4 linked regions of the Astyanax mexicanus genome follow. Each later gene encodes a partner of the first gene's protein in a complex. Links are inferred from orthologs where the notes say so. Each region holds a gene or a part of one and is shown on either strand. Other genes may lie near its edges. The genes, in order: mios, castor1, seh1l and wdr59.

Evidence for each region.
Region 2: the proteins of mios (region 1) and castor1 are in contact, whole or in part, in a cryo-EM structure (PDB 9LVK), measured with the Homo sapiens proteins. The link is inferred for Astyanax mexicanus from reciprocal best matches to the Homo sapiens genes MIOS and CASTOR1. Residues at the interface, in NP_001357005.1 of Homo sapiens: Ala83, Asn84, Val109, Pro110, Lys111, His112, Ala113, Arg114, Asp134, Lys135, His136, Arg137, Asn184; in NP_001032755.1 of Homo sapiens: Val94, Ser116, Thr117, Tyr118, Gln119, Thr120, Asp121, Thr188, Tyr236, Leu255, Thr256, Ser257, Ser258, Ala295, Tyr296.
Region 3: the proteins of mios (region 1) and seh1l are in contact, whole or in part, in a cryo-EM structure (PDB 7UHY), measured with the Homo sapiens proteins. The link is inferred for Astyanax mexicanus from reciprocal best matches to the Homo sapiens genes MIOS and SEH1L. Residues at the interface, in NP_001357005.1 of Homo sapiens: Arg279, Arg316, Ser317, Phe353, Glu354, Arg355, Ile356, Ser357, Leu358, Ala359, Trp360, Pro362, Leu366, Met367, Trp368, Ala369, Cys370, Gly371, Arg372, Leu374, Tyr375, Glu376, Cys377, Thr378, Glu379, Glu380, Glu387, Asp389, Ile390, Ala391; in NP_112493.2 of Homo sapiens: Met1, Phe2, Val3, Ala4, Arg5, Ser6, Ile7, Ala9, His11, Lys12, Asp13, Leu14, Ile15, His16, Asp17, Val18, Phe20, Phe22, His23, Gly24, Arg25, Met27, Trp47, Ser173, Ser174, Ser175, Asn230, Leu231, Gly232, Arg233.
Region 4: the proteins of mios (region 1) and wdr59 are in contact, whole or in part, in a cryo-EM structure (PDB 7UHY), measured with the Homo sapiens proteins. The link is inferred for Astyanax mexicanus from reciprocal best matches to the Homo sapiens genes MIOS and WDR59. Residues at the interface, in NP_001357005.1 of Homo sapiens: Asp705, Trp710, His711, Arg713, Ala714, Ile718, Ser721, Lys728, Pro729, Leu730, Ala731, Gln732, Val733, Phe734, Val735, Ser736, Cys737, Asn738, Phe739, Ile744, Lys780, Pro781, Leu782, Pro783, Leu787, Cys788, Leu789, Gly793, Pro795, Gln819; in NP_085058.3 of Homo sapiens: Tyr871, Arg876, Glu877, Arg879, Ala880, Glu881, Leu883, Lys884, Pro889, Pro890, His893, Lys894, Gly895, Ile896, Glu897, Phe898, Gly899, Val900, Tyr901, Arg906, Glu908, Val909, Arg910, Thr912, Phe922, Gln923, Ala925, Ile926, Cys927, His928.

Annotation. Positions count from the first base shown.
Region 1 is NC_064408.1:116,461,542-116,468,560, forward strand, and holds the start of mios (GATOR complex protein MIOS), read right to left. Parts: upstream 3,023-7,019; 5' UTR 1,648-3,022; coding exon 970-1,647; intron 1-969. UniProt on the Homo sapiens protein: As a component of the GATOR2 complex, functions as an activator of the amino acid-sensing branch of the mTORC1 signaling pathway. The GATOR2 complex indirectly activates mTORC1 through the inhibition of the GATOR1 subcomplex.
Region 2 is NC_064429.1:31,870,064-31,877,448, reverse strand, and holds the start of castor1 (cytosolic arginine sensor for mTORC1 subunit 1), read right to left. Parts: upstream 3,009-7,385; 5' UTR 2,743-3,008; coding exon 2,630-2,742; intron 1-2,629. Other genes in the region: nipsnap1 (protein NipSnap homolog 1), read right to left, coding at 4,654-4,718. UniProt on the Homo sapiens protein: Functions as an intracellular arginine sensor within the amino acid-sensing branch of the TORC1 signaling pathway. As a homodimer or a heterodimer with CASTOR2, binds and inhibits the GATOR subcomplex GATOR2 and thereby mTORC1.
Region 3 is NC_064410.1:33,194,251-33,201,469, reverse strand, and holds the start of seh1l (nucleoporin SEH1), read right to left. Parts: upstream 3,021-7,219; 5' UTR 2,830-3,020; coding exon 2,719-2,829; intron 1,311-2,718; coding exon 1,260-1,310; intron 1,128-1,259; coding exon 981-1,127; intron 35-980; coding exon 1-34. Other genes in the region: ptpn2b (tyrosine-protein phosphatase non-receptor type 2), read left to right, coding at 4,547-4,603. UniProt on the Homo sapiens protein: Component of the Nup107-160 subcomplex of the nuclear pore complex (NPC). The Nup107-160 subcomplex is required for the assembly of a functional NPC.
Region 4 is NC_064416.1:13,643,286-13,651,258, reverse strand, and holds the start of wdr59 (GATOR complex protein WDR59), read right to left. Parts: upstream 3,003-7,973; 5' UTR 2,972-3,002; coding exon 2,918-2,971; intron 1,318-2,917; coding exon 1,268-1,317; intron 1,037-1,267; coding exon 901-1,036; intron 1-900. Other genes in the region: RNA-binding protein NOB1, read left to right, coding at 4,546-4,614, 5,751-5,883, 6,789-6,922, 7,011-7,082, 7,185-7,328. UniProt on the Homo sapiens protein: As a component of the GATOR2 complex, functions as an activator of the amino acid-sensing branch of the mTORC1 signaling pathway. The GATOR2 complex indirectly activates mTORC1 through the inhibition of the GATOR1 subcomplex.

The sequences.
Region 1 (7,019 bases):
GTCTATCATTAAAAACAGTCATTTGAATTAAAACAGTAATTTGATTAATCAATCCTATTTTATTTTGGAAATAATTGCTTGCACATCACTTCAAATGGAGCTGTTTGTTTAGAATTTTTTTTTTCTAAAAATCATAATTGTAATCGACAATCGATCATATATTTGAAGAATATCAAAATCTTGGGCTGCAGCAGTTAATGGAAAGAGTATACATTGCCTTTAAAAGGGAATAATTGCTTTTTTATGCTGTACTATTATCATTAAGTCAGTGACGTTTATATATCGTTTATAGCAACGATTTCTGGGATAGTATTTCGTCCACAAAAAAAATGTCTATCTATACGTCATAAGTTATATTAGTTAGGTAGTTATTTAGGGCAGGTATTTATAGGGCGGTTGATTAATAGGGAGTGGAGTTAGAGCATGGAGTGCGGGCGTGGTCCTTCTCCCAAACTTTTGTTATTACATAACTTTATTTAGAAGGCTTAAACTCCAAGCTCCTTCTTTACTGCTACCATTAGCGCTGCTTATCAGAGCACTGCTGTGTGCAATTCATTCTGCTCCCATAAATTCCAATAAAGAGGCTCAAACTGCACTGCTTAATTTAAGTTAACGCATGATAGGAACAGCATCTCTGAAGTAAAATCATGATCAAAATAGCTCTGCTGAGGTAACAGTATAAAGTACATTCATGATTAAAATAGGACTCCTGAGGTAACTGTAATAAGAATAGCACTGCTGAGATGAATTAATGATTAGAATAGCACACTGCTGTTTTAAATGCATTGTGCTTTGTAAGATCACTTACTTTTGTGAAAGTGAACTATCAAAATAGCCAAATCCGATCTGAGCAAATAATCTAATTTGAGCAATGTGTCTTGTAATGTGAACGTAGCCTGAGAATCACCTTTGTGGTAAGAAGCTTTTGGGAAATCCAAAATCAACACCTGAACTCTTTTATATCCCTACCTTGGTGTTGACGAAGGTCTTCTGGCTGGTGTTGCGCAGGTCGAAGATGGCCAGGTTGCGGTGCATACCAGCCAGTAGCAGCTTCTGATGGTCTCGAGGCAGCCAGCAAAGGGACAGGCACGCGTCGTTCTGCCCCAGCTCATACAGAGGCTTCGTTACCACCATCCCGGAATCGGCATCCCCCGACAGACGGAGCTTCTCGGCCGGCACGGCCTCTGGAGAATACTTACTGCTGATGTCCCAGATCAGGACAGAGAAGTCGGCCCGGTGCTTATCCAGACCAGCTGCCAGCCAGTTGCTGTCCACAGGGTTCCAGGCCAGGGTGTTGCACTGTCTGGCATGTTTGGGCACAAACTCCTTCCCCACCAGCTCCTTGCATTTGGAGTTGTGGCTCTGGCCAAGGCTGGTGAGCACCACTCTGCCGTTGGCCTGACCGACAGCCAGCAGACACTCGGGCTCGTGCTTCGGGTACCAGGCCACGCATTTCATGTACGGGGTGTCGGAGTTGATGGCCAGCAAAGTGGCTGCCGTCTCCTGAGACAGCGGCAGCGCTCCAGCTTTGGCCTCTGAAGTCCCAACAGCACCAATTCTGTAGAGACTGAGCTCGGAATCGCAGATCACATAGCGGTCCGCGTGATGTGGAGACCACAGGATATCTGGCTTGGAACCGCTCATCATTACAACAACTAGTTGCGGGCAATATGACAATGCTTTATAGTAACTGACTTTATCTTGAACACGGTCAGTGCTTCATAAATATTGTCCTGCTGAACATTTCATTACAAAAGTTAGTGCAGGAAATAGAGAATAAATAAAAATCACTGTACGCAGAATTGAAAAAAAAATTGGTGATACATCACGTATCATTAAATTGCTTTTAAATCGGGCAATATATCATTTTTACCATATCGCCCACCTCTACAACTAACTACAACTATTCACTACAAATGTATGTGACTTTCAATTGACAATAGCTAAGCATTCTTCTGCACGACTCACTACTTTAGTCCAGATATAGTCTAAAAAGTTATAAAAACACTTTTTAGTCCAGAAATCCAAAATCAATTTTAAGGCTGTTGTTTTTCTTTTTTTCTCTAAAGTAATAACATATCCAAAATCTATGTTTTAATACTTATTTTATGAGTTTTTATTTTTACTTTTCTCATTGTTTTTTCTCATTCCAAACATGATCTAACGTTTTTTTATGTCTCGACAAGTAAACCTAGAATCCTTCGCAAATTATACCTGCAATAATTGTTTTATAGTTCTCATTATCACTTTACTCATTGTCCAATAAGTAAATATCACAATAAAAACTAACTAAATCAATATGTAGACTCTTTTTTTTTTTATCTGGAGTTAAAAATACCTCCAATATCTAGGAATAATCCGTTTTAATTGTGTTTAAATTGTATGTACTACGTTGTTTCACTCCAGACATAGTCTTCAAAACTGACAATCCTTTTAAGGCCAGATAAATCATTCAGCAGCCTGTTTTCTTATTGTAAAGTACGTTAAGTAAAACTACAAATAACTGTCATTAATCTGGTTTAACTCTGGTTAAAGGCAGTTAACCTTAGGTTAACTACAACCCCACTACTAACATGTCAATTCAGCAGCTATACTGCTACAGTTCTGTAACTCGCATTTAGTAACTTACAATCCTGAGGTAAAAAAACTAGCTGTTAAGTAGCGAAATTAACGTAATAAATAAATTTCATATCAGAGAGAGAGCTGCTGCTGCTGCACTGTGACAGTGTTGACACAAGCGAAGCTAAGCTAAGCTATGGGCTAACTGTCAGCTAAAGCTAGTTAGCCGGTTAGCTAACCTAGCTAAACTAAGCTACACGGTTACATGTCATTTCGGGTGAATAAAGCTCCACAGAACCACGTCGTTCCCCCGGAGCCTGAACTCCTAGCCCTCACCGCGCGGTTTATTCACACCCACATCTAAACACAACCGCGCACGCAGCCAAACACCAAACTTACTGCCTCAACACTCCGTCAACTTTCTGCCGCTGCTGCGAATACGAGCAGGACTTTTAACCTAGAAAATAAAGCGCGCTTTCAAAATAAAAGTCCCACCGCCCCTGTTCTATGTGAAGATAGATAGATAGATAGATAGATAGATAGATAGATAGATAGATAGATAGATAGATAGATAGATAGATAGATAGATAGACCCCCACCTCAGACAGATAGATAGATAGATAGATAGATAGATAGATAGATAGATAGATAGATAGATAGATAGATAGATAGATAGATAGATAGATAGATAGATAGACCCCCACCTCAGATAGATAGATAGATAGATAGATAGATAGATAGATAGATAGATAGATAGATAGATAGATAGATAGATAGATAGATAGATAGATAGATAGATAGATAGATAGAGTCTTTATCCTGAACATGTGACTAACACTAAGAGCCTGTTTCTATGTCAGGCACTTCTGATGGTATTTGTCAGTTTCTCACATTAAACTAGTTTAAATCCTTTTAGAAACAATTTAAATCATATTAAAGAATCAAACTTCAGCATAGTTTGGTAATTACAGTAACTCAGTACTTATACCTCATAAATTCCCACATCTGATCAATACTCAGGACTAGCCTAAGTGTCTATGGTTGTCTAGATGTATATGTCAATAAAATCTTATTTTCAAATGAAAAAAAGTTTGTTTGAAAGAACACAAATGTATAAATAACCACAGCATTAATATTTCTCAATTTTCGAATTTTATTAGAAATTAAAAATTAAATGATTCAATTGGATTTTTTTTCAATGGGGGGGTGGGGTGGGGGGTGAAGAATCAGTATATAATGAAATGATTTGGTCAGGGCTAAGTTTGCTGTTATGTGGTTTCTCTAAAGTGACGTCACATCAAGTTTATTAGTCTAGTGATTTTTACAAAACCCCAAGTGAGCAAGCACGAGGCGACAGCGGTGAGGAAAAACTCCCCTGTAGGAAGAAACCTCAGGAGGAACCAGGCTTCACAAGGGGGACCCATCCTCCTCTGGTCTAAACCACATATGACTAATTCATGATATGACGTCACTTTAAGACCACATATACAGTGTTTTTATATAGTGGCTCCCTGATGCCTGCAAATCATCTACAGTACTTATACAATATATAATGAATTTACCTGTGCCCAGATATCCCCTCTAAACTAAATTCAATATTAGCTGTGGAGCCTAAATCATGCTCACAGAGCTCAGTGATAATTCTAAATACAAGCAGCAGCCAATCAGGATGCACTCTCAGTCTTACTTTTAGCTGCATCTCTTAATCAAATTGTAGATGATTTGGAGGCATCAGGGGCTCTTTATCAATATGCGCTAGAATCACCGACCGAAGTCACGGGAGAAGTGGGATGTCTGCTGCTCAGTGTGCTGCACAAATATACTGATATAAAAAAACTCAACATCTATATAGATGGAGCTTAGATTATCAGTAAATACTGAGCAGTCAAAGAGACAACATACAGTGTTGTTTTGCTCCCGAACTTGGGTAAACTGCATGATATTAAATTTATAGCCGAATTAAATCTATGCATTAATCTTTATGTTTTGATTAAATCTCTGGGCCGAATTAAATCTATACAAACGCTCAACATCTATAATGATGGAGCTGAAATAGTCAGTTAATACTAAACAGCCAATTAGACATTAGACAGTGACCACTATGGTTATTTTGGTCAACTGCACTAAAACTCTGTTATACTAGAAGCTCAACATCTGTAACGATGGAGCTCAGCTCATAAATTAGTCTACAGGATTACACTGACCAAATCATTTCATTAATACAGAAAAGTATAAATAAAGAAGTGATAGAAGATAGAAAGTAAAAAATAGAAACAGGGTGAAAATGGGGAAATTTAGCTGTCAGGAGAAATCTTGGGGCTTCTCCTGGTAACGGCCGTTTCACTGCTTTCCATGCTTTCTTGAAGAAGGCCAGGACTTTGATCTTTTTTGGGCCTGCAGAGAAAAGAAGACAATATTTTATTATGAATGTATTAAATTGTGGAACTCAGTTTAACAGTCATGAGCAGTGGCGGGTTTAGGATGTGTAAAGGGCACAATAATAATAGAGGCACCCTTTTCTACCAGAAGGGCAGAAGAGCATCCATAGTTGGGCACTCAGTAAGACACATTATAGCAATTCCTTTATGTAAAGAGCACATCATCATAGTTTACTGAAATAAGGGGCACTCTAGTGGCCACTTTACACAAGAAGGGCAGTCAAAATGGCACTTTGTCTCTTTTTGCCACTCAAGAGGGAACTTTAGTGATGCTTTTATCCATGAAGGGGACTGGAGGAGGCAGTTGCAGTGTAAAGATCAAGAAATACTGATTTAGCGTTTTCTGTTACTTACCAACTGGGATGTCATCCTTTGAAGGTTCCTCTGTTGTTACAGATTTGGGTGAGGTGACCTCCAACCTGAGAGTGCAGGTATCAACTTCCTCCACAGGTGGTAGAGACACCCTCTGCAAGAAATTGTAGATAAATCATTAAAAATAAGTATTTCAATATTTTGATTTGCGATACTGTATCATTTTTCATAAACAAAGTATTGGATTTTAATAATTAGTACACATGTTAAGATTTGGGTGATTCATTTAGTCTTGTGTTTAAACCCCGCCCACTTGGTAGAAGGGTTGCACTCTGTGTTCAGATCCCACTCTTCTGATCGAATAAAAGTAAATTGTTTTTTTATTTAGATTTTGTAAATATCAGCTTCAGCTCTTTACTGTCTTTAGTAGGAGATTAAAGTGAAATTGAATTGACTGTCTGCTGCATTTCTAATATTTGGTAATTTGATTTAAGATATTTTCATTTAATTTTAAATTTAATTTAAGATGTTTTAAGGATCTGCGTTTTCTTTGAGAATATTAAAAGCTGACTTACCACGTCTGGGAGAAGAAGCTCTTGCTGTTTTGGCTTAGTGTACTTCTGGTAGTCTGCATACTGGTTAAACTCCTTAAGGGAGCACGCCACCTGAAGTAAAAGGATAATTAATACTGTTGAATAAATTGTATTAATAGTGTGGATTAAAGGTTTCATATCATGGAAAACTGATTTGCCCTCACTGTGGATTATGTGAACACTGCTAATGTTTCTTAATGTACACTTTACTCCTCACATAATCATAATAAATGCTGCAAATGGACCTAAAGATATGAGTTCTTTAAGTCCGAGTGCTACATTTCACAAACTGTGACCGAAATGGGTCGCTAATCATTCATTAGCCTTGTGTTATACAGGTGGAATCAATGTAGTGTACTAAGTTGTACTGTAACTGTGTGTAAATCATCAGCAGCAGCGACGTCATCAACATTCCGCGTTCCAAACACACTGCAGTCACGTGACCACCAACATCTAACATAATATAATATAATATAATATATAATATAGTATAATATAATATAATATAATATAACATAATATAACATATAATATTGTATAGTATAGTATAATATAATATAATACAATTTAATATGATATAATGTAATATAATATAGTATAATATAATATAATATAGTATAATATAATATAATGTATTGTAATATAAAACAATATAATATTCTATCTATCTATCTATATATACATATATGTTGTGAAAAAAATGGTACTGGTGCTTATGGTAACAATTGCAAAATTATTACTATATCAATGACAATTGCTAAATAACCAACATTTTAATAACAATCTATCTATCTATCTATCTATCTATCTATCTATCTATCTATCTATCTATCTATCTATATCTAGCTATATATCTATCTATCTATCTATATCTAGCTATATATCTATCTATCTATCTATCTATGTAACACAGTTTTAAGTTATTTTCCAGTGTTGTTTTTGCATAATATAATATAATATAATATAATATAAAGTAATATAATATAATATAATATGATATATTACAATATAATATAATGGAATGTAGTATAATATAATATAGTATAATGGAATATAATATAAAATAATATATATATATATATATATATATATATATATATATATATATATATATATA
Region 2 (7,385 bases), on another chromosome or scaffold:
CTTCCCTTCCAGTGGAAGTTTACTCTAAATATAACAGGGTGGTTACGGGGCATTGATGGTATTACCAAGCCAGAGAAGAGAGTGGTGACAGTGGTGTTAGTGGTTCTGTGGCATAAATGATGAGCATAAATCCTAGCTAATAGTGCAAAGTCACAGTAAACCTGAACATCTCTAAGGCTTGAGAAAAAGATCTAGTAAAAAGGGATTCATAGAAAACTCCGAAACCAAAATTATTAAGAAGAAAATGCCCTCTAGTGTACAAAGTCAAAATTAGCCTGGATATTAAGGTTTAAAAAGTTGCAGTAGATCAGATCCGTTAGCAGAGTGGGCTAAAGGGCCTAAACCTAATAATAACATGGTGGTTCATGAGCATTGATTTTACTACTTTACAGAACACAGGCTATAAACATGGACCCTACGGGTGCAAAAGCAATATAAGTTCGGACATTGAGGTTTGAGAAGTCGCAGTAGATCAGATCCCATATTAGAGTGGGCTAAAGGGAGTAAACCTAATAATAACATGGTGGTTCATGAGCATTGATTTTACTACTTTACAGAACACAGGCTATAAACATGGACATTACTGGTGCAAAAGCAATATAAGTTCAGACATTGAGGTTTGAAGAGTCGCAGTAGATCAGATCCCATATTGGGCTAAAGGGCCTAAACCTAATAATAACATGGTGGTTCATGGGCATTAAAATGTACTACTCTACAGAACACAGGCTACAAACATGAACCCTACTGGTGCAAAAGCAAAATGAGCCTGAATATTGAGTTTTAAGAAGTGCCAGTAGATCAGATCCTGTAGCAGAGTGGGCTAAGGGGCCTAAACCTATTTATATGATGGTTCATGAGCATTGATTGTACTCTCTACAAATGACAGGCTTTAAACATGGACCCAACTGGTGCAAAAGCAAAATGAGCCTGGATATTGAGGTTTGAGAAGTTGCAGTAGATCAGATCCCATAGTAGAGTAGGCTAAAGGGCCTAAACCTAATAATAACAACATGGTGGTTCATGGGCATTGATTGTACTAGTCTACAGAAGGCAGGCTATGAACATGCATACTAGTGGTGCAAAGTAAAAATGAGCTTGAACACTGAGGTTTAAGAAGTGCCAGTAGATCAGATCCTGTAGCAGAGTGGGCTAAAGGGCCTAAACCTAATAATATGATCGTTCATGAGCATTGATTTTACTACTTTACAGAACACAGGCTATAAACATGGACCCTACTGGTGCAAAAGCAAAATGAGCCTGGATATTGAGGTTTGACAAGTTGCAGTAGATCAGATCCCATAGTAGAGTGGGCTAAAGGGCCTAAACCTAATAATAACATGGTGGTTCATGGGCATTGGTTGTACTAGTCTACAGAAGGCAGGCTATGAACATGCATACTAGTGGTGTAAAGTAAAAATGAGCTTAAACACTGAGGTTTGAGAGGTTTCAGCAGATCAGATCATCTAGTAGAGCATGCTAAAGGGCCTAAACCTAATGATAAGGTGGTGGTGCACAGAAACTCACTGTACCAGACTACATGAGAGTTTTGTGAGTAGTTTTAGGGCTACAAACACGTACCCTAGTGGTGTTAAGGCAAAATGGTGGAGACACTGAAGTTTAAGAAGGTCCAGCAGATCAGATCCTGTAGTAGCACATAATAAAGGGTCTAAACCTAATAATAACTTTGTGGTGCATGGGCATTAATTGTAGGAATTTAAAGAAGAGACTGCCATTATTGGTTCTATGGCTATAAACATGCATCCTAGTGGTGCAAAGGAAAAATGAGCCTGGACATTGAGGTTTGAGAAGGTCCAACAGATCAGACCCTCTAGTAGAGCAAGCTTAGGGAAAAAACACAATAATAAGAGGCTGCAAGAGAGTCACATTAGTACCAGTCTACAGAAACAGGCTATGAACATATATCCTGGTGGTGCAAAGGCAAAACGAGCCAGGACATTGAGGTTTGAGAGGGTCCAGCAGACCAGATCCTCTAGTAGAGCATGTAGATGGACAACATAATAATAACAGTCTGCAAGAGAGAATCACATTGGTATATATATCTACATATATATCTACAAGGAAGTTTATTGTATCAGTCTACAGAAAACAGGCTATGAACATGCATCCTGGTGGTGCACAAGCAAAATGAGCCTGAACACTAAGGTATTTAGTAAATCTTCTAGCAAAAGCATAATAAAGGGCCTAAATACAATAACAACAGGCTGCAAGAAAGTCATGTTCGCGGTTTGGGGGGAAAAAACATAAACATGCACCCTAGTGGTGCAAAGGCAAAATAAGCTTGAGAAGACAGGCTTTAAAACATACATCCTGGTTGTGCAAAGGCAAAATGAGTCTGAACATTGAGGTTTGTAAGAATCCAGGGGACTAGATCTTCTAGTAGAGCATGTTAAAGGGAAAACATAATAATATCAGACTGCAAGAGAGTGAGAATGTTAGTGGTTTTGGGCTATGAACATGCACCCTAGTGGTGCAAATGCAAAATGAGCTGGAGAAGGCTGAGGAAAGATCTAGTAACCCTTTCTAAAACAGCACATGGGTTAAAGTGGGAGAACAGGGAAATGAGCCAGCTTCCAGTAATCACCAGCAGCAGTGCTGGAATAGAACCTACCTCGTCCTGTTCCTGAGGAAGATGAGCTTTATGAGGGGGTGGGTGTAGTTCTGCAGTCCGCTCTTGCTGATACTGGTGACTCTGAGTCTGTGGGCCAGAATGTGGAGGTCCATGGCAGGTCCTGAGCTCAGGAAGCCGCGTGCTGCTGCTGCTGCTGCTGCTGGAGACTCTAACCGCTACTCAGATCCCTCCTACCTCTGAACACAGCGCGCCCTGACCGCGGGACTCAGCTAGCGGTGCAGCGGGAGCTCGGCGGGCATGCTGCCGGGAGAGAGAGAGCTGCAGGGCGGCTTCAGGAGGAGAAAAACCCGCTGGAGGAAATCCGACCCTGGAGCAACACTGCGCTGAGAGACCGAGCAGCGGACACGCCCCCACCCCGCCTTAAAGCTACAGCGCCCCGGTACCGGTACTCTTCACACTGCCGCTATATAAAAATATACTACTAATTATATTAATAAAAAAAAAAAAATAAAAAAAAAATAAATATATATATATATATATATATATATATATAGTAAAATTTATATAAAACAATATATAAAAAGTTATATAATATATATATATAAAAAGTCATATATAATATATATATATATATATATATATATATATATATATATATATATATATATATATAGTAAAAGTTATATAAAAATATAATAATATAGTAAAAGTTATGTAAATAATAATATTATAATATAATAATAATAATTACTTGATGTAAAAAATATATATTTTGAGATATTGAATTATTGAATTGGCTATGGGTATGTTAAAAAATAATAACAAATAATTAAATAATACATAAAACGTATTATTATTATTATTATTATTATTATTATTATTATTATTATTATTATTATTATTATTATATCGTAAATAAAATAGCAGTATTATTATTATTATTATTATTATTATTATTATTAGTAGTAGTAGTAGTAGTAGTATATAGTAAAAGGTGTATAAATAATAATAATAATAATAATAATAATAATAATAATAATAATAATAATAATAATAATAATAATAATACAGAAAATATAAAACCCGTTACTTTAAAATACAATTTTTTTGTCTTTCAGAAAATGTAAAATGAAAAACATTTTGAGATGTTTAATTAAATAATAATAATAATAATAATAATAATAATACAGTAAAAGTTATAATAATAATAATAATCATAATAATAATATACCTAAAATTTAAAAAACATTATTGTTTATTTTATGCAATTACTTTTGCAATTTAATTTATTTTATGTTGAAATGGATGTTTTTTAATTTTTTTTATAGATATTGTTCTTAAACTGTCAACATTTTGCAAAATGCCATGGGTACGTTAAAAAATAATAAATTAATAAATTAATAAATAATAAAAAGATAAATTAGAATTCATAGAGATTAAAAAGTTTGCACACACCCTCTCATTCAATGTTTTTCTTCCTTTTTTTAATTTAATTTATAACAAATACAATGGTAATGGGTTGAAAACTGTACATAAGCACAGTATTCCAGATCAGGATGTACAAGAGTTGAAATGATTCTGTGCCACTGTGGTAAAAGTGGCACAGATGCATTCTGTGCCACTTTTAGCCTGCAAACATATCACATACTGTACATACAACACAGACTCAAAAGTCAATAAAACTAACTAAATGTGTATGTTTTAAAAACTGATCATAATTGATGTCACTGCAGAGCTTTGCATCATGATAATATCATGAAATACTACATTTACATTCATTACATTATACATTATACACACTTTACACATAATTCATATAAAACATAATGTGCCATGAACAGAAATACTGCTGATACTGTTGATACTGCTGATTCTACATCAAATATGAACAAATACTGCTGATTTACATCAAATATCAAATGCTAATAAATCAAATACTAACATTTATTCTTTTTTGCTTATTTCAGGATATACATTCTGGTCCAGAATAAGTGAGAATCCACTGAAGATCCACCAGTATCTTCATCAGTGTGTCTCCTGTGTGTCTCCTGCAGTCTTCTGTGTTATTGCAGAGGTGAGCTCTTAGTAGGAATTAAAATCCTGGACTCCATATTCTGAATTAAAGGCACTGTGTAAAGGAAAGTGTCTCAGTTAATTAAAAGGTTTAATAAAAAATGGTAAAGGTTGTAGATTTTTAATAACACAGAGACAGTGTGAGTAATTACACTTGTGCATCTAAAAAAATAGAATATCATTGAAAAGTTACTTTATTTCAGTAATTCAGTTCAAAATATGAAACTCATATATTATATAGATGTATTATTATGGATTGGATTATGGCTCACAGCTGATAAAAAAAACCCAGACATCAGTGTCTCAGAAAATTAGAATATTATATGAGACCAATTTGGTACTTTTGTCAGTGTGGGCAGTGTGCCAAGTCCTGCTGGAAAATGAAATCCACATATGTCATCTGCTGGTGTTGATTCACTGTGTTTTATTATCAAGTCTAAAGTCAGTGCAGTTTTGTTTTCCCACAAAATCTTACAGCACTTCATGCTTCTTCCCTCTGCTACTGACAACTTTTATTTAAATGTGGCTTTCATTTCCCAGCAGGACTTGTCACACTGCCCACACTGACAAAAGTACCAATTGGTCTTATATAATATTCTAATTTTCTGAGACACTGATTGTTTGTGTTTTCCTTGGCTGTAAGCCATAATAATCATCAACAACAAAAGAAGTAAACGTTTCAAATAGATCACTCTGTGTGTTTAATACATCTATATAATATATTAGTTTCACATTTTGCACTGAATTACTGAAATAAAAGAACTTTTCAATGATATTCAAATTTTTTGAGATGCACTAGTATTGCCCAATTTTTGATGTGCAGTGAAGATATATTCCACTAGATGGAGCCAACTGCTTGGCTAAATCTCTCAAACTACACGTTTCAGCACAAACAATATATGGACAAAAGTAATGGGACAGCTGCTAATTCATTTTTTCTACTACTTTTAGTTTATCCTGCTTTTGTTGGAGTAACTATACTCTCTATACTGTCCAGAGAAGTTGAAGTATAAAAGTAAAAGTAATGTAAGGGGGGAAAAATAATGTTAATAAATTTGGGATGCGCTAGGCTCCTTTGTTTTTAGATCAGGGGTGTCAAACTCATTTTGGCCGAGGGCCACATTGGCATATTGGCTGTCCTCTGAGGGCCAGATGTAACTTATAAATGTAATACAATGTAACCAAATGTAATATAAAATGAATGTAATTACTCCTTAATGTTAAATAACTCTCAATATATTATTTATTCAATCAAATATTACAGTTGCATGGAAAAAATGTTTGCTTGTTGCTCTATTAACATAAATCCTCATGTTATGAAATCCAAAAACTCCATCAATCAAGAACCAAACTATTCAAGTGAATAGAAATGGCATCAAGTTATATTAACTTTGATCAAAACGTTTGATACTGAAATAAGACTTAATATATATAAAATCAAAAATTGTGAGCTGTTAAGAACATAGATGACAGATTTAGCAGTTCCTCAGATTTAGCAGTTCCTCATCCAACCACTAGTGGGAGCTGCAGCAGCAGCACCACAAGCCCAGTCTTTACTGAGTCAGAGCTACAGCCCAGTCACGGGCTACAGGTACAGGGCTCAGCTGAGCCAGTCTGGAGCGTTTTTAAAATGTTTAAGTTCTTCTGTGTAGAAAATAAAGGTTTTAACCCCACTAACCGGATAATACAGCTCTCTACAATTCATCTTTCAGCCCAAGCAGCTAACAGCAGCAGTTTAGAGCAGCGTCACGGAGGCACTGCTCGGATTACATTAAAAGCAGGTCAGTTAGCGCGCTGCTAACCTCAGGATGTTTATAACTACGGAGTTTAGTGGACACACCACGGCTGCAAGGTTAGACTGTTGAAGGCTGCTGAAGACTATTAAAGGCTATTGGAGGTTATTGAAAGGGTTATTGGGGGCTGAAATCAGTAAAGGCTGGTTAGATAAGTGATTCACGTGCTCGTCCTTTGCTGAGGTGAAACTGCGACTAGCGCTGTCACTGTGATGTTTATTAACGTCATTAAAACTATTATATCTCTTCTAAAAAGCGTTTATTTTGGTCAGAAACACCCTTCGTAACACAAAAGGCATACCGGTCTTTCGCCTTGAAGCACAGCCGTCCGTCTGCATCAACTTTTCTTTTTCTGGACATTATGGGATAAACATTTATATGTCTCACTTCCACCCGCGAAGTTACACCTTCCCTCCAGCAGGGTTTCCACATCAATGACTACACTGCCGTGTAGTGGCAGTAAGCCATAACTTCGCGGGTAATACAATCGACAAGCATTGTGGGAAATGTAGTTTTTGGTCAAAGAACGCTTCTGACCTATTTATTATAGACACTAAGATCTTACAAGCTCTCGCGGGCCACATAAAAGGACGTGGCGGGCCACATCTGGCCCGCGGGCCTTGTGTTTGACACATGTGTTTTAGATCATTTGAGAGTTGTTTTGATGAGCCCATGATGCCACTCTTCAGAGGAGATTCAAATAGGAGAACAACTTGCAATTGGCCACCTTAAATACCTTTTCTCATGATTGGATACACCTGGCTATGAAATCAATAAAATGATAAGGGTGCCCATACTTTTGCACCGGTCAAATTTTGGTTTAATGCATATTGCACTTTTTCTGTTACAGTACAATAAACCTCATTTCAATCCTGAAATATTACTGTGTCCATCAGTTATTAGATATATTAACCTGAAATGGCTGTTGC
Region 3 (7,219 bases), on another chromosome or scaffold:
AAGTCCTGCTGTCCACCAAAGTTGTTCTCTTGATCTGCATGATGAGATTCTAATCAGTACTGATTACGGACATGAAATCAATATTTCAATACTAAAACCAGCAAATGGCATTCATCACAGACCGCTGTATTTTACTACTGGTGACAAATCTCAAACATCACAGAGAGCTCTACTGTACAATTTTTTTTTTTTTTTTTTTAATATAATTTTATTTCAAATTTTTCCCCATTTTCTCCCCAATTTACATGGCCAATTTCCCAACCCACTCATTAGGACTCCCCCTATCACTAGTAATGTCCCAACACACCAGGAGGGTGAAGACTAACACATGCCTCCTCCGATACATGTGAAGTCAGCCACCGCTTCTTTTCGAGCTGCTGCTGATGCAGCATTGCCGAGCAGCCAGCTCGGCAATACATCAGCTCACAGACGCCCTGTGCTGCAGACATCACCGTAGGAATGATGTGGGGAGAGAGCGCCATCTACCCACCCAGAAGGAGCAGGGCCAGGGCCAATTGTGCTCCCTCTAAGCGCCGACAGCTTAATGGCAAAGCTGCATGAGCGGGGTTTCGAACCGGCGACCTCCCGGTCATAGTGGCAGCGCTTTAGACCGCTGGACCACTCAGCACCCCAATTTCGTATTTATACTTGTAAAGCATTGCAGAAGAAGTTTACACACCTTATCTCTATTCACAGCTTTAAAAACATGGGAGAAGGCTGGACGGTTCTTTACACTATGAGGTTAATGTATCTAAGAAAAAAAATGGAAGCTTAGATCCTAATATACAGCATCATACCCAAATCATTAGAAATGTACTTCAAACCATGTGTAGTTGTTGGAAAGGAATCTCCAGCAGACCTGCTTATTTGTTTTATGACACTGTACTACAAATGTTACTGTAATGTGAACACCAGTGCAGACACAATTCAGGCTCCAAAATGACTGCTACTATAAATGAGTAAATTATTAGATGTGTTACCCAGTGACTAAGTCCTCGCTGTTTGTCGTTGGATTCGCCGACTATTTCTTCCCACACTGCTGCGGTGCGGTCAAAAGAGCAGGACGCCAGCACCTGTCCGAACTCTGGGTGAGCCCACGTCACTCTCCACACTGAGCCACTGTGGGTCTGAAAAGAAACCAACAGAAACCAAACCCAATGTTACTGTTAAAGCATAACTTGTGCATAATTTAATACCCAATCTGTAGGTTTGTGTACTTTTTTAGATATGAACAAAAGGTAGTAAAATTAAAAACTTGCCTTCCAACTGGCTGTGCAATGCCATTCTCCATCGTCACTTTTGTCCCAAACCTTCAAGCAAGACAAACATTTCTGTTAATCATATTTTAAAAGATCTTACTCGATTTTACAGTAATATTTATCTTTACAAATCTACTGAAATATGCTTCAGAAACCCATAAACTAACAGGTTTCAAGTAATGAAGTACAAATACTTTGTTGCCTTACTTATGCAGAAATTTCTAATCTATACATTACTGGAGTAATTATTTTTTAAACAACTTTTTACTTCTACTCCTTCCATTTTTAAAATAGCCTCATTATTCATATTTAATTTCAGCTTGTTTTTCCCTCTGGCTTCTCATCATTAAAAAAAACCCTATCCTTATAACTCTCTCCATCTAGTGTGAAGATGATCTGTATATAAAATAAATAAATAAACAAACTTGACCAAACTGTCCTACCTAAGCTACTTGAAAATATTCAAAATGCACTTAAATGCAACTATTTTAATGGGCATATATGCGTATCTCAAGATTTTTAACTTTAACATTTCAATATAACATTATAGTAGGGGTGGGCGATATGGCTCTAAAAAAATATCACAATATTTCATGGTATTTTCACGATAGTGATACTTTTGGCGATATGACAAAACACTAAATTAGAAAAAATATTTAGCTGCATGCAATATGATATGGCTAACTAAGATAAAAATATATATATATATATATTATTTTATCAGATTTATAACAGAAGTAAATGATCCAGAATGTCATGATACTAATAATGCACTCCAAATATTCAGGATTAAAGTAAAATAAATTATACTGGACAGATCTAATCTGTCTCTAGTAGCTATATAATACGAAATGAGAACAGTGTGAATTTTTCTTTTGCTAAAAACAGCACAAAAAGGAGCACCCTAATGTGATAATTAGGGGTGGGTGATATGTCACGATATTTCAGGGCAAAATGTTTGGCGATATTATCACGTACGATACGATATGGCACACCCCTACATTATAGTCATTATGGCTTTTACAAAAATGTGTTTTGGGGAGCAGGGAGTAGTTAACTATAGGCTGCTATAACACAACCTATACTTTTGTCCTTAATGGCATTTCCCCCCTTACATTACTTTTATACTTTAAGTAGTTTTAAAAGCATTACTTTTACACTTGAGTTAAAACTTCTAACTGTTACAGAAGTACTTTAAACCCCAGTATCTATACTTCTACCTTAGAAATGAATGTGAAGACTCTTGTCACCTTTTTGTTTAACAAAAAACATTGTGAGAACGAATATAGCTATTCATTTTTAGAAACGATGAATTTCGCTCTTCTCTGTTCTGCTTTTAGCATTAACAACATACATTCTGAGGTACCTATATGCTCTGTAAAATTTGGCTGCATTCCATACATATGGTAAGTTAAAAGGGGGGTGAATATAGGTGAATAAAGTGAAGGGGTGTGTTTACCTTCACGCTCTGGTCGCTGGAGCAGGTCGCCATCCTCCTGCCGTGGAAATCATAGGAAACATCGTGGATCAGATCTTTGTGATCTGCAGCGATGCTTCGCGCCACAAACATGCTCCTCTACTCTCCGTTCCTGATCGCTGTGAAAACACTGAATCCCTGTTCGCTCTCAGAAACAGAGTAAATACAGAACACCGCTTTAAACTTTTTAATGTTTCTGCTCACTTCTGGCGGGTCGCTCAGCAATGCGCCATTTTACCGCTCACTGCTGTTTCCTGCCAGTCAGAGACTCAGCAGCGCCGCTCTCAGAGCAGTAGGACTGGAGGAGCAACAGCAGCCCGACAGCGCCTCGGTCTGAACTCCACAATCTAGACTCTAATATTACAATAATTGTCATAGTAGAATATCCAAAGGTGGAGCTTTTAATCAATGCTTTATTGATTTAACGTATAAAAAAACACCACACATCTTTATATGCTACCATAAAGAAATTCAACTCCCTAAAATCAATGAAATCTAAAATTGCTAAAGATCCTTACAATTTACATAAAGATAACCACACTAATGAAGTGAACTAATTATTTTTATTGCCAGTTTGTTATTGCCTGTTTTCAATAATGCTTTATAAATATTATAATTTATAATTCATTCTGTTATGTTATTGTTATGTTTTGTATATTAATTGAGTAAATGTGTTGTTTCATAATACATTGCTGTCTTACAATTTGGTAATTCCCTACAGTTTTGTAGATCAGAAGTCTTCCAATAAAAAAAAATAGATTACTCTATTTCGATACTTTTCCTAGTTTATGTTTTTGTTTCACAACATTTTGGACTTTCATTTATACTTTTACTTTTTGTTTCATGTACATTTCATTTTATGTGCAGGTTGTACTAGTTACATTACATTGAACTGTATTTTTACTTTAACATTTATTTTAAGTGTAAGATTATTATTAACGAGTATTTTGTCGTTATTTTTACAGTTTCATTTGTAAAATGTATGTTTATTTTTATATCACTTTCCAACTTAGATTCTTTTGGAAATGTTTAGGCGCCACCCGCTGGACTGGGGTGATTTTACACAAAGCGAAAAGTGGCGCAGTAATATTTAAAAGATTGGTTTCTGGACTCTGTAAATAACTTTCATATTGAGTTTACTTTAAGCATATAGAAAAAAAATATGTTTTAATCAGTTGTTTTTATTATTAGTTCATATACAGTACATATTTTTATTTAATCCCCTTACTATTTTAAATAATTTATTTTATTTGTAATGGTTATTAAAAGAGCAAAAACACTAAAATGAAAAAAATTTCAATGTTTAAATTTGTTTTGTGCCTGCTTTGTGCTTCTAGTTAACTTTTTACACATAATTTGATTCGTAACAAACGGCTGTAGTGCATATTTTGGCTAACATATTTTGGGAGCGGTATAAGCTAAAAGGTATTTTCTTGTCAAAATAAATATATTTTAAAAATACACATTTTAATATTTCTATTGCAGTTTCAGATAGTTGGAGTTTGGTGTCTAAATAATTCTACGTATTTTTTCTTTTTTTGGAGTTGTACTTTTATTTTCTGTTTTGCTCGCTGGTCTGCGCAAATGGAGCGCCGATTTGCTGCGCAATTCAGTCAGCTAGATGTCAAACACGGGAAACCCGGACCGAGAGAGAGAGTGGAGTGTGTGAGTGAGTGTGTGCGTGTGTGTTTTTATTTTATTTATTTTTTTTATGTTCGTGGCTTAATGTCGGCGGTAGAAATGACTGATCCTTTATGATAGGGCTGTTTATTTTCTATTATACCGGACTAGAGTCTGAATAAACAGAGAAATGGACCACGAGTTTCAGGACATCGATTCAGAAGGCCGGTGGCATAACCTCTACATGGTAAATATTTTTTCGAGCATTAAAATTCTGTTTATTAACCAACCTTATAGCTGAGTTTAATATTAAACTAGCAAATTATACACATGCGTGACTCTACTCTACTAGCAGTACTTTCTCAAATAGTCAGCTGTACTGAGCTAACCTAGGTAAGTTAAGTTACTGAACAGTGAGATATTTAACTTAGTTTAGTTAAGCTTAATGTCAGTGTAAAACTAAATGTAAGGGTTTTTGTTGATTCTGCTACTTTCTTACTCTCAACTTCCACATCTTCATTATCAGCTGTGTACTAGCTGAATGTGTTTTTTACGCGTGTCATTCCAGTGTACCGCAATTAAGGCTGACTAAATAAAATAAAAAACTTGATGACTGGGATAGGGTAGGGGGTAGGTAATATAGATGCTGAGAATCGGCATAATAACAAATTGCAGCCATCAAAGTGCATGCTCTCTATTACAAACTACGTTTATAAGAAGACTAAGATGATTGACAGGGCACTGTTTATTTAAAACTTTAACTAGGTTAGCTATTAACTATTAAAACTGTTTAGTGTAAACTCTGCATTAACCAGACATATCAGTACATAACAAACTAAATTCTGATATGTGTTAGCTAACGTTAGCCTAGCTAGCTAAATAGTAAAAAATCGCTTTAAGCTTTAGTAGGTTACACAATGTTTAGTTTTATTGAATGTATCCATGTTTGAGATGTAGGTTAATTCCTGTTTTTAGAGAAAGAAAGAGAAAAGCGGGACACTGTATTTTACACATCTAACCTGGTTAACCTAGGTTAGCTTAGCTATCTCTAGCTAGCTAGGTTCACCTAACGTTAACTTTAACGCTAGCTAGGTTCTACTTGTAATTTACTCACACTGGTAGCAGAGGATCCTCAGTGAACCTTAATATAATGAGCAATACTGGCTAGCAAGCTAAATATTTGGTACTGCACGGTTTGCCTGCTGACACAGTATAATATTAATTTATGAAAAAGCGTTTCCCCTCTGCCTTTTTGAACTCCTTCAATGTTGTCTAGCTAACGCTAACATCTCGAAAACCATAGTGAACGGTGTGGATTTTACCATTACAGTCGCATGAAATACCACTGGAAATGCACTAACCCAAATTAGTTCCCTTTGTAAACACCTGCAACGTAACCTAAATATGTGCCTCATAGCTAACTTTGCTAACTTAGCTAGCGTTAGCTTAGCTAGTTCCCAAATCTCTCAAGGAGTGAAACTGACTAAACTAAGCTAAGCTAGCGCCTTTAGCCTACCCCCAACAGCAGCCGCCACACAAACTTTAAGGCAAGAACATGTCCAATGATACCGCCAGTTGATTTAGTGTTCAGTGTCATTAATCCTGAATTCATGCTGACTGGTACTTTTGCTACCTGGCTACGCTAAGCTAAAACTATGTTCATGGAGTGTATGTAGCGCTAGTGTAAAGTGAATTAGCTAAGCTAAGCTAAGATAGCTAACGCTAGAAGATACATCTCTGAAAAAAATACGAGACCACTTCAGCTTCTGTATCAGTTTCTCTGACTTTGCAATTTATAGGTATATGTTTGTAGTTTATAGAATAAAACAATGTTTATTTTACTCAGACAACAATTCGTGCCAAATTTCTAATAAAAATATTGTCATTTAGAGCAGTTATTTGCAGAAACTGCTCTGCTCTGAAACGCAGTTAAATAAACGTGGATAACTTGTTCATAACCAACACCTTCCTAATATTTAAAGTGCAAGATGATTTATAGTGTAATGTTAATAAGACAACAGGGCAAATTGTAGTCAGAAAGAAAATATAATGTTTCATAGGGCTGTGTAATACTGTTTTACAAAACTAGGAGATGATTTGCTGAATTGTTCTCTGTGAAACTAATACAAGTTACAGAATTTCATTACAGCATAAGGTGCAACACCTGTCATTCTCTTAAGGCTCTAATCAAAATAATATTTCAGTGTTTTCAGTATCCATCTGCAGTGGACAGTCAGCCAGTTTTATGTTTTTAATTTGTGATCTATGGCCACAGGTGTATTAAAATTATTAATATTATATAATATTTTTTAACAGTAAATATGGATAAATGTGTTTTTTCTAATAAATTGTATCAGCTTTACTTGATGGTTTCTGTTTTAGGTGCAGTGTCTTCTATACTGTAACTGTACTGGCATGAGAAAATGACATTAAAGGACTAGTTCAGCAAAAAAATCAAATAAAAATGAATGATCACTGACACCCAATACTCAAGTTTATAAACATAAAAATAAACTTTTCTACAGAGATGAATGGTGGCGTATCCAGAAATACTTTTACTTTAGTAGGGCTGGCCCGAATAGCGTTTTTTGAGCTCCGGATATTCGGCACTGATTCGAAGCGAATATTCGAATATTCGTTTTTAAAATAAGAGGTAAAAAAAAAAAAAAAAAAGGAAATCACGGCCCCTTTAATCCACTGAAAAATTTTCAATTTGCTCTGACCGACAAGACATATTCACCCCGGATTTTGGGTGTTTTTATCCCGGATTTTTGTGTTTTCACCCCAGATTTCTTTGTGTTTTCATCCCGGAATTTCTGCTGCCCTACACCGCGGCTTATCCGCTGCGTAAGCAGGCTAGGAG
Region 4 (7,973 bases), on another chromosome or scaffold:
ATGCAAAGAAAGTATATTAAATAGTACAGAGTACACGTACAGTCCACATGTCCATGTGGTCCAAAACAGTTTAAAGGTATGTATTGACAAGGTATTTTAAATGCTTATAGTGACATTTGTCATTTAAATTGGTAAAAAATACACTAAAGTGTGCAATACTAAAGACACTAAGAATGTAATTAAACCAAATCATTCTCATAATGGAAAGATACCCTAGCTCTTAATTTTTGCCATGTTAAACTGTATATAGTCTTTAAATAGTCTTTAATATGACTATTGCACATGCATACAATGCGATAAAGATATAAAAACAATATATTATGTAGCCCTAATAATCACTGTAAAAAGAATAGGCATTTGGAAATCAATCAGTATTCTGTTGATACACTACCTTAAATAAAAGGTCACACACTTTAATATTTCATTAAGCCTCCTTTAGCTTTATAATTTACATTATAGTAAGTTTAACTCTTTCATTATGAGCAAATTGTCCGCACTAGGGGTGTGCTATATTGTATTGTATGCCATAAAATTGGCAAAAATTTTGAATATCATCATTGCAAACATACCCTGAAATATTGTGACATTATTTTTGGGCCATATCACCCACCCCTAGTCCACACTAATAAAGTGAATTGGGTTTAGCACAGAATATGTTGCTCTGCTTTTCCCCTGCCTGTGCATGGATGTTTTTTAACACACTACTGCTTAGGCTGTCCTCCCACCAACACTGCCAACCAGTGAACACAGTTGCTGACTAGTGGATAGTGTGTACTCTTAGATGGCAGTGGTAGTATTATTACAAGAAACCTCCATAGTAGCTCATCTACAGCCAGAATGTTTTTATTGTGGTTTAAGCCACTAAACTCCCTCCTAACTGTGATACACATTCACACTTACTGATGCAGCAAACAGATGAGCTTCTGCTCTGTGAGGATTCCACTGCACAGTCCCAACGTCCCACTTACTCTGACGACCTATTTTTCGGGGAGCCTCTGAAGGAGTCTCCAAGTTCACAACATACAAGAAGCGTCTCCTAAAACAGGTTCACATTTTCAATTAGTTTTTTAATCAATTTATTTTACTATTTCACCACCAAAATATTAATCACATTACAATAGCATAGTTAAAATGAAGAACAACAAAAACAGTGTAGGGGTCAGCTATGTGTGTGTGTTTCTGTGTGTGTGTGTGTGTGTGTGTATAAAGACAAATGAGGGCAGGATTGTTCAGAGGACATTCCACATGCAGGTGAGGCAGTACACACCCAGACAGAACAGCATGGTGTCCGAGACAGTCCACTGACATTGCAGTAGCCTGAGAAAAACGCAAACACAGGAAATTAGAGATGAAATGAAGTGTAATAAAGTTATTCCTCACTGATCTAGGCTTTCACATTATCTTGCTAGTTAGTTATTAGCTATACAACTGGTCTTCACAGACTTCCCACTGCTTATTACAACCTTTTAACCTCTCTCTGGATCTTCTGAAACTGAAACAGGCTTAGATTAACTAAAAAAATCTATTGTAAAACAACCTAAATATCAGTGTACTCACTCCTACTGCAACTGAATGAAAACAGCACACTTTGGCTATTACTCATCTAGCATACGAACTACAGTTCTCACTGTTTATTACAGCCTTTTAACCTCTCTCTGCCTCTACTAAAGCTGAAACAGCATTGGAATAATGAAGAAAATTTATTAAATACTGTAAAATTACTTTAATATCAGTGTACTAATGCATCTCCAAAAAATTTGAATATCATTGAAAAGTTACTTTATTTAATTAATTCAGTTGAAAATGTGAAACTTATATATTATATAGTTTTATTACACACAAAGTGATCAATTTTAAGTGTTCATTTATTTTATTTTTGACTATTGTTGACTATAGTTTACAGCCAATGAAAACCCACCCTAAATTTTAAATTAGAATATCATATAAGACCAATTGGTACTTTGGGCAGTGTGGGCAGGGTGACAAGTCCTGCTGGAAAATGAAATCCTCATCTCCATAAAAGTTGTCAGCAGAGGGAAGCATGAAGTGCTGTAAGACTTTGTGGGAAAAAAAAACTGCACTGACTTTAGACTTGATAATAAAACACAGTGGATCAACACCAACAGATGACATGACTCTCTGAACCATCACCGATTGTGGAAACTCCACACTAGACCTCAAGCAGCTTGTGTGCCTCTCCACTCTTCATCCAGACTCTGGTCAGTGATGGTTTGGAGAGTCATGTCATCTGCTGGTGTTGATCAACTGTGTTATAACAAGTCCAAAGTCAGTGCAGTTTTGTTTTCCCACAAAATCTTACAGCACTTCATGCTTCCCTCTGCTGACAACTTTTATGAAGATGCTGATTTCATTTTCCAGCAGGACTTGGCACACTGCCAAAAGTACCAATAGTTCTTATATACTGTAACATTCTATTTTTCTGAGACGCTGATTTTTGGGTTTTTATTCGCTGTAGGCCATATTTATGAACAATAAAAGAAATCAATGCTTAAAATAGATCACTCTGTGTTTAATACATCTATATAATATATGGGTTTTAACTTACATTTTAAAGACAGCACACTTTGGCCATGACTCATATACTGTAGTTAGCTATACTACAGGCCTATACAGAACTCTCATTGCTTATTATATCTTATATCCTCTTTCAGGTTTTTCTGCAGCTGAAACAGCATTAGATTAACTGAGTACATTTGAATTTAATACAGTCAATTGGTTTGAATTAATGAATAAAGAAGCAGTCTGCAGCTTTAGTAAGGTTAGTTAGCTCCTGAACTTCCACAGCCACACAGCTCACACCAGCCTGTCATTGTCTGTATCCCAACACAAGGAAAGAAGGGCAGCTATAGCAGAATTTAGGACAGTCTAAACCATAAACACGAGCTAAACTCTGTACCTGAGCGTCCCTAAACTCCACCACCTCATTCTCACTGGTCCAGCGGGCCGCCATGATGCCCCCGACAAAAACATCAACAAACCAGAGCCGCTTTACCGCGAGACTGCCCACTTCCTGTTTCCACAGTTATATCAGTACATGACTGCACGCGCTAGAGGGAGCCCGCGAGGGAGACATTAATGAATGGGGTGAATTGAGCTAATCGGCAAAATCCTCTAACTAAAAATATTTTGTAACTGTTTATCTGGACATTTCTTTTAATTTTAGAAAGTATAATAAAGTATTTTACCAAATAATTAAAAAAATCTGCCTGCGTATTTAAATTGTTCTACAGTAAACCGGTTTTAGGCAGTAGACAAGCTAGCATTACTTCTGTTGAAGGTGGTGGAGGATTTGTAGGTGTTTGTAGGTGTGAACGTGTTAAAGGTGTTGAAGGTGCTGAAGGTGTTGAAGGTGGTGAGGGTGCTGAAGGTGTTGAAGGTGGTGGAGGTGGTTGAAGGTATTGAAGGTGCTGAAGGTGGTGGAGGTGGTTGAAGGTATAAAAGGTGGTGAGGGTGCTGAGAGTGTGTAAGGTGGTGTAGGTGGTTGAAGGTATTGAAGGTGATGAGGGTGCTGAAGGTGGTGGAGGTGGTGGAGGTGGTGAGGGTGTTGAAGGTATTGAAGGGTTTGAGGGTGCTGAAGGTGTTGGAGGTGGTGAGGGTGTTGAAGGTATTGAAGGAGTTGAGGGTGTTGAAGGTATTGTGGGTGTTAAAGGTGTTGAAGGTGGTGTAGGTGTTGAATGTGTTAAGGTGTTGAAGGTGGTGTAGGTATTGAATGTGCTGTAGGTGTTGAATGTGTTAAGGTGTTGAAGGTGGTGTAGGTATTGAATGTGCTGTAGGTGTTGAAGGTGTTGAGGTGTTGAAGGTGGTGTAGGTATTGAATGTGCTGTAGGTGTTGAATGTGTTGAGGTGTTGAAGGTGGTGTAGGTATTGAATGTGCTGTAGGTGTTGAATGTGTTGATGTGTTGAAGGTGGTGTAGGTATTGAATGTGCTGTAGGTGTTGAATGTGTTGAGGTGTTGAAGTGTTGAAGGTGGCGTAGGTATTGAATGTGTTGTAGATGTTGAAGGTGGTGTAGGTATTGAATGTGTTGTAGGTGTTGTAAGTGATGATGTGGTGTTTCTGTTTTTTTTGTTATACTTTTATTGGAATAAAGGTATTAAACTAATGGAAAATATTTTGTGAAGTAAAAGTGGAAGTAGGAGAACAAAGAAAAAGCTTTATAATACTGCAGTAAAGATACAGTCTTTTAGTACTTAAGTACAACCCCAGATAATTTGCCTTTTTGACCAGATCTCTGATGAAGACACAGCCAGAGAGTGTTTTTTAAAGGTTTATAACTGGAGTTTTTAGATCTGATAATGTTCTGTGTTGAAGAAATGAGAACAATTTCCAGTTCAAAAGTGATCAAACATTTATAAACTCTGATTTTGCTCAATTGCTCCATTTGAACCCATTCATTTTGACTCTCTCGGAAGCGCCCTCTAATGGTCTCACAAACTCAGAACACATTCTCTAAAGTACATGTTCTCTTTTCCAGAGATGATGACCGTGTTTGTGTGTTCTCGCGAGATGTGGGTGAGCGTTGAAGATGGCAGCGGCCACGGTGGAGCATGTTGTGGCTGATGCTGCAGCTTTTTTGAGAAAAGCTCCTTTACACGTGAGTTTAAAGGCTGGGAGACTCCGCATTTACACTGTTTTATAGTAAAATACCCAGCTTATGGTCAGATGACCAGATTCCCAGTCTCACAGGGGCTTTTTTTGTGTTACACGTGTTTAGCTAGCTGTATGGCGTAGCTTAGCTTAGCCTAGCCTAATAATAAAGCCGCTAACTAATTTGTCTAGTTTTCTAATGTAATAAAACTTGTTTTTTTGCCAACATGTGTATACTAATCTGGAGCTCACATGGGTGGAATAAGGGTAGTTTGGCTCCAGGTGGGCATGAGCACGGGCTCTGAGTGGGTTTGTGTATATACAGCACTAGAAAAAATAAGAGACTCTGAAATATAATCATGAGGAAGATGGATGATCACAAGGCACCAAACCAAGCTGAAATGTTTTTTTACACCGGGAGTGGCATAAAGTATCCAAAAGCAGTGTGTGAGACTGGTGGAGGAGAACATGCCAAGATGCACAAAAACTGCTGTGCATCCTTTTTTTGTTATTTCAGCCATTTCTCATTTTCTGGAAATACATGCTCTAAATGAGGATCAACGGAAAACTTTTACAAAATTTGGAACCCAATTTTTTTTTTAACCATAAGGCAGCTCAAGATTGGTATTAGGGATGGGATGGGGTTGATAGTGTGGGGTGTTTTGTTTTTTGTTGTTTGTTTGTTTTGGGAAATTATAATGTAAAAATGTTATTAGTTGCTTGTCTTTCGAAAACCTGTTCAGTTCAGTTAAAAGTAATTATAAAAAAATATAAATGCTCTAAATGTCAATATTTTTATTTGGAATTTGGGAAAAGTTTTGTCCTTAGAATAAAACATCATTGTTTATTATACTCAAACATATACCCATAAAATAAGTGTTTTATCCTCTTCAGTAACACAGATACCATTAAGTGACTTATCGATATATTGATATGTAGTATCATTGTAATATATTGAGTACCACAGAATCCCAGTATTATTATATCATCGTTAAAGTGCGATGGTCTGTGATTCCCATCCACAATAACTACAGTGATATTATGGCATTTACTCTTATATCAGGGTATATCATGGCTCTGTTATGTATGTGTGTTTTATGGCTAATTGTAAGTGACATGTTTGTTCTGTTCTCCATGTTTTAGGAGATTGGGAAGAATATTTACACTCTGAAGGAGGTTGTGAATGAAATCCGGGATAAACAAACCAAAAGGAACTTGGCCTTCCTACCCTACCAGCTCATCTATAAAGACCCATTCCCAGAGCATGTGCGCTTTGGTGAGTATTCACATCAGCAACATTTTCACTAGAAAATGTAAAGAAATATAATTTAGCTTTACAGAGGTAGACAATATGACGATATTTCATTCTATCACTTATTATACATTTTAAAGAGAGTAAAAAAAAAAGACATTTTGTTTACAAAATGACAAAAACCCCACACTATAATATAAATTAAATGAGTCTCTGAATACATGTGTGTAAGAATCTGCCACTGATGTCTGTGCGGCAAAACATTGCTTTAAATATTTGTGTGTCATGAAAAGACTTACATTAATACAGGTGTGCAGGTGAGTGGAACATACATAGTTTATTTTAATGACAAAAACACAATATAAACAAAATAAAAATAAGTAATATAATGTTAAGTAAGTATAGTGAAATTTTGGGCACTGAGTGGTCTAGCGGTCTGATCAGAAGATCGCTGGTTCGAATCTCGGACATGCAGCTTGCCATCAGCTGGCAGAGCCCTGAGAGAGCACAATTGGCCTTGCGCTCTCTGGGTGGGTGGTGGGTGGATGGATGGAGCTTTCTCTCCACACGATTCTTAGGGTGATGTCGATCAGCACAAGGCATCTATGAGCTGTTGTATCGGAACCGAGTCGCCGCACTTTCCTCCAACAATTCTGTATGTATGTTTTGTATCTGTATGTATCTTAATGTATGTTTTTAATGTAAGTATAAACTTGGTTTAATGTCACTGTCCATGTTTGTTTGAGAACAGTAGATTGCTTTTTAATGTCATGGCAATACAATTATATTTAGCTTGCATGCCTAAAAAAATCGTCCTTTCATCATTTCCAGGGGGATTCAATCTGTTTTTCTGCATTCATAGGGAATATCATTATTCCCTATAGAAACTTAATGTATTTCCATGCTAAAATTGTCTTTTTATTTTACAGTCACTGAATTTGCCAAAAAGACAGGAGATTACCCCAGCCTTTCAGCAACAGACATCAAGGTCTTAGCTTTAACCTACCAGCTGGAATTGGAGAATGCTGGGGCAGAACATTTGAGGAAAGCACCTGCAGCACAGGTATGCATATTTAAACATACTTCATTTAAAATAGCATTTTAAAAAGCTGCAGATAAGTTTACACAGTTTATCTTTGCTTAAACTTTAGGTTGAGGTATGCAGCACACAAAGACACCCAGAAGCCCCGGTGAATGTTGCTGGATTCCACCTTCCCTCTAAAGTAAAACTGTTCTGCCTTTTTTAACTGGTACTTTAATTTAAAGGCATCTCATCAATTAATTAATTAATTAATTAATTATTATTATTTTTTTTTCATTTCCAGAAATCTTCAAACAAATTAGGCACTGATGTTCACAGTGCAGCAGAGCCAAGTGTTCTTAATGCTGCGGAGAGCTCAGAGTTTAATAGTTTCCAGTTTTGGAGGACCCCACTACCTAGCATCGAAGCTGATTTGCTAGATCTGTTGGTGAGTATGAGTGCATTTCAGGAAAGTTATCATTATTTTAGAAAATTGTAATTTTCACAGATATAATGAATACATGTCTGCAGAATTCATACATTCAGATGTAAGTAAAGGGGAGTGAGTTTGGTGTTCTGAAACGTATCAATTCTGATATTTTATTTGCCTTGGTGGTGACTGGACAATGACAGCAGTGCAAATATAACCAGTTTAATTGCTAAATAAATAAAATATTTGGATATTAATGTACACAAATATGACATTTAGTATTAATGATAAAATGGTAGTAAGTGGTAAAAAATATATACATTTTATTAGGTATCAGCTTTTAAAAACCTTTCTGCTATCAGGCAGTGTATTCATATCCATTTTGTATATTAATGTTCTGGGGAGTGGGAGTTTAACTTTTTAGACACAATCCATGCCAAACCTTTTTAAGTTGACTGCTTATAATGACTTGCCAAAAGTCATGGGATAGGTTATGAGGTGCTATCTTGTGAGTGAAGTAGCAAGTCAATATGAATTAGTGCAGTTTTAGTGAGGCCTGAAATAGTTGGCACCAGATTGATGGGACAATACATTGCTGAAGTTAAAACGTCATAGAAGGCATTATCACCCACAGTGGACAGCACAGTGGGTGGTAATGTTTGT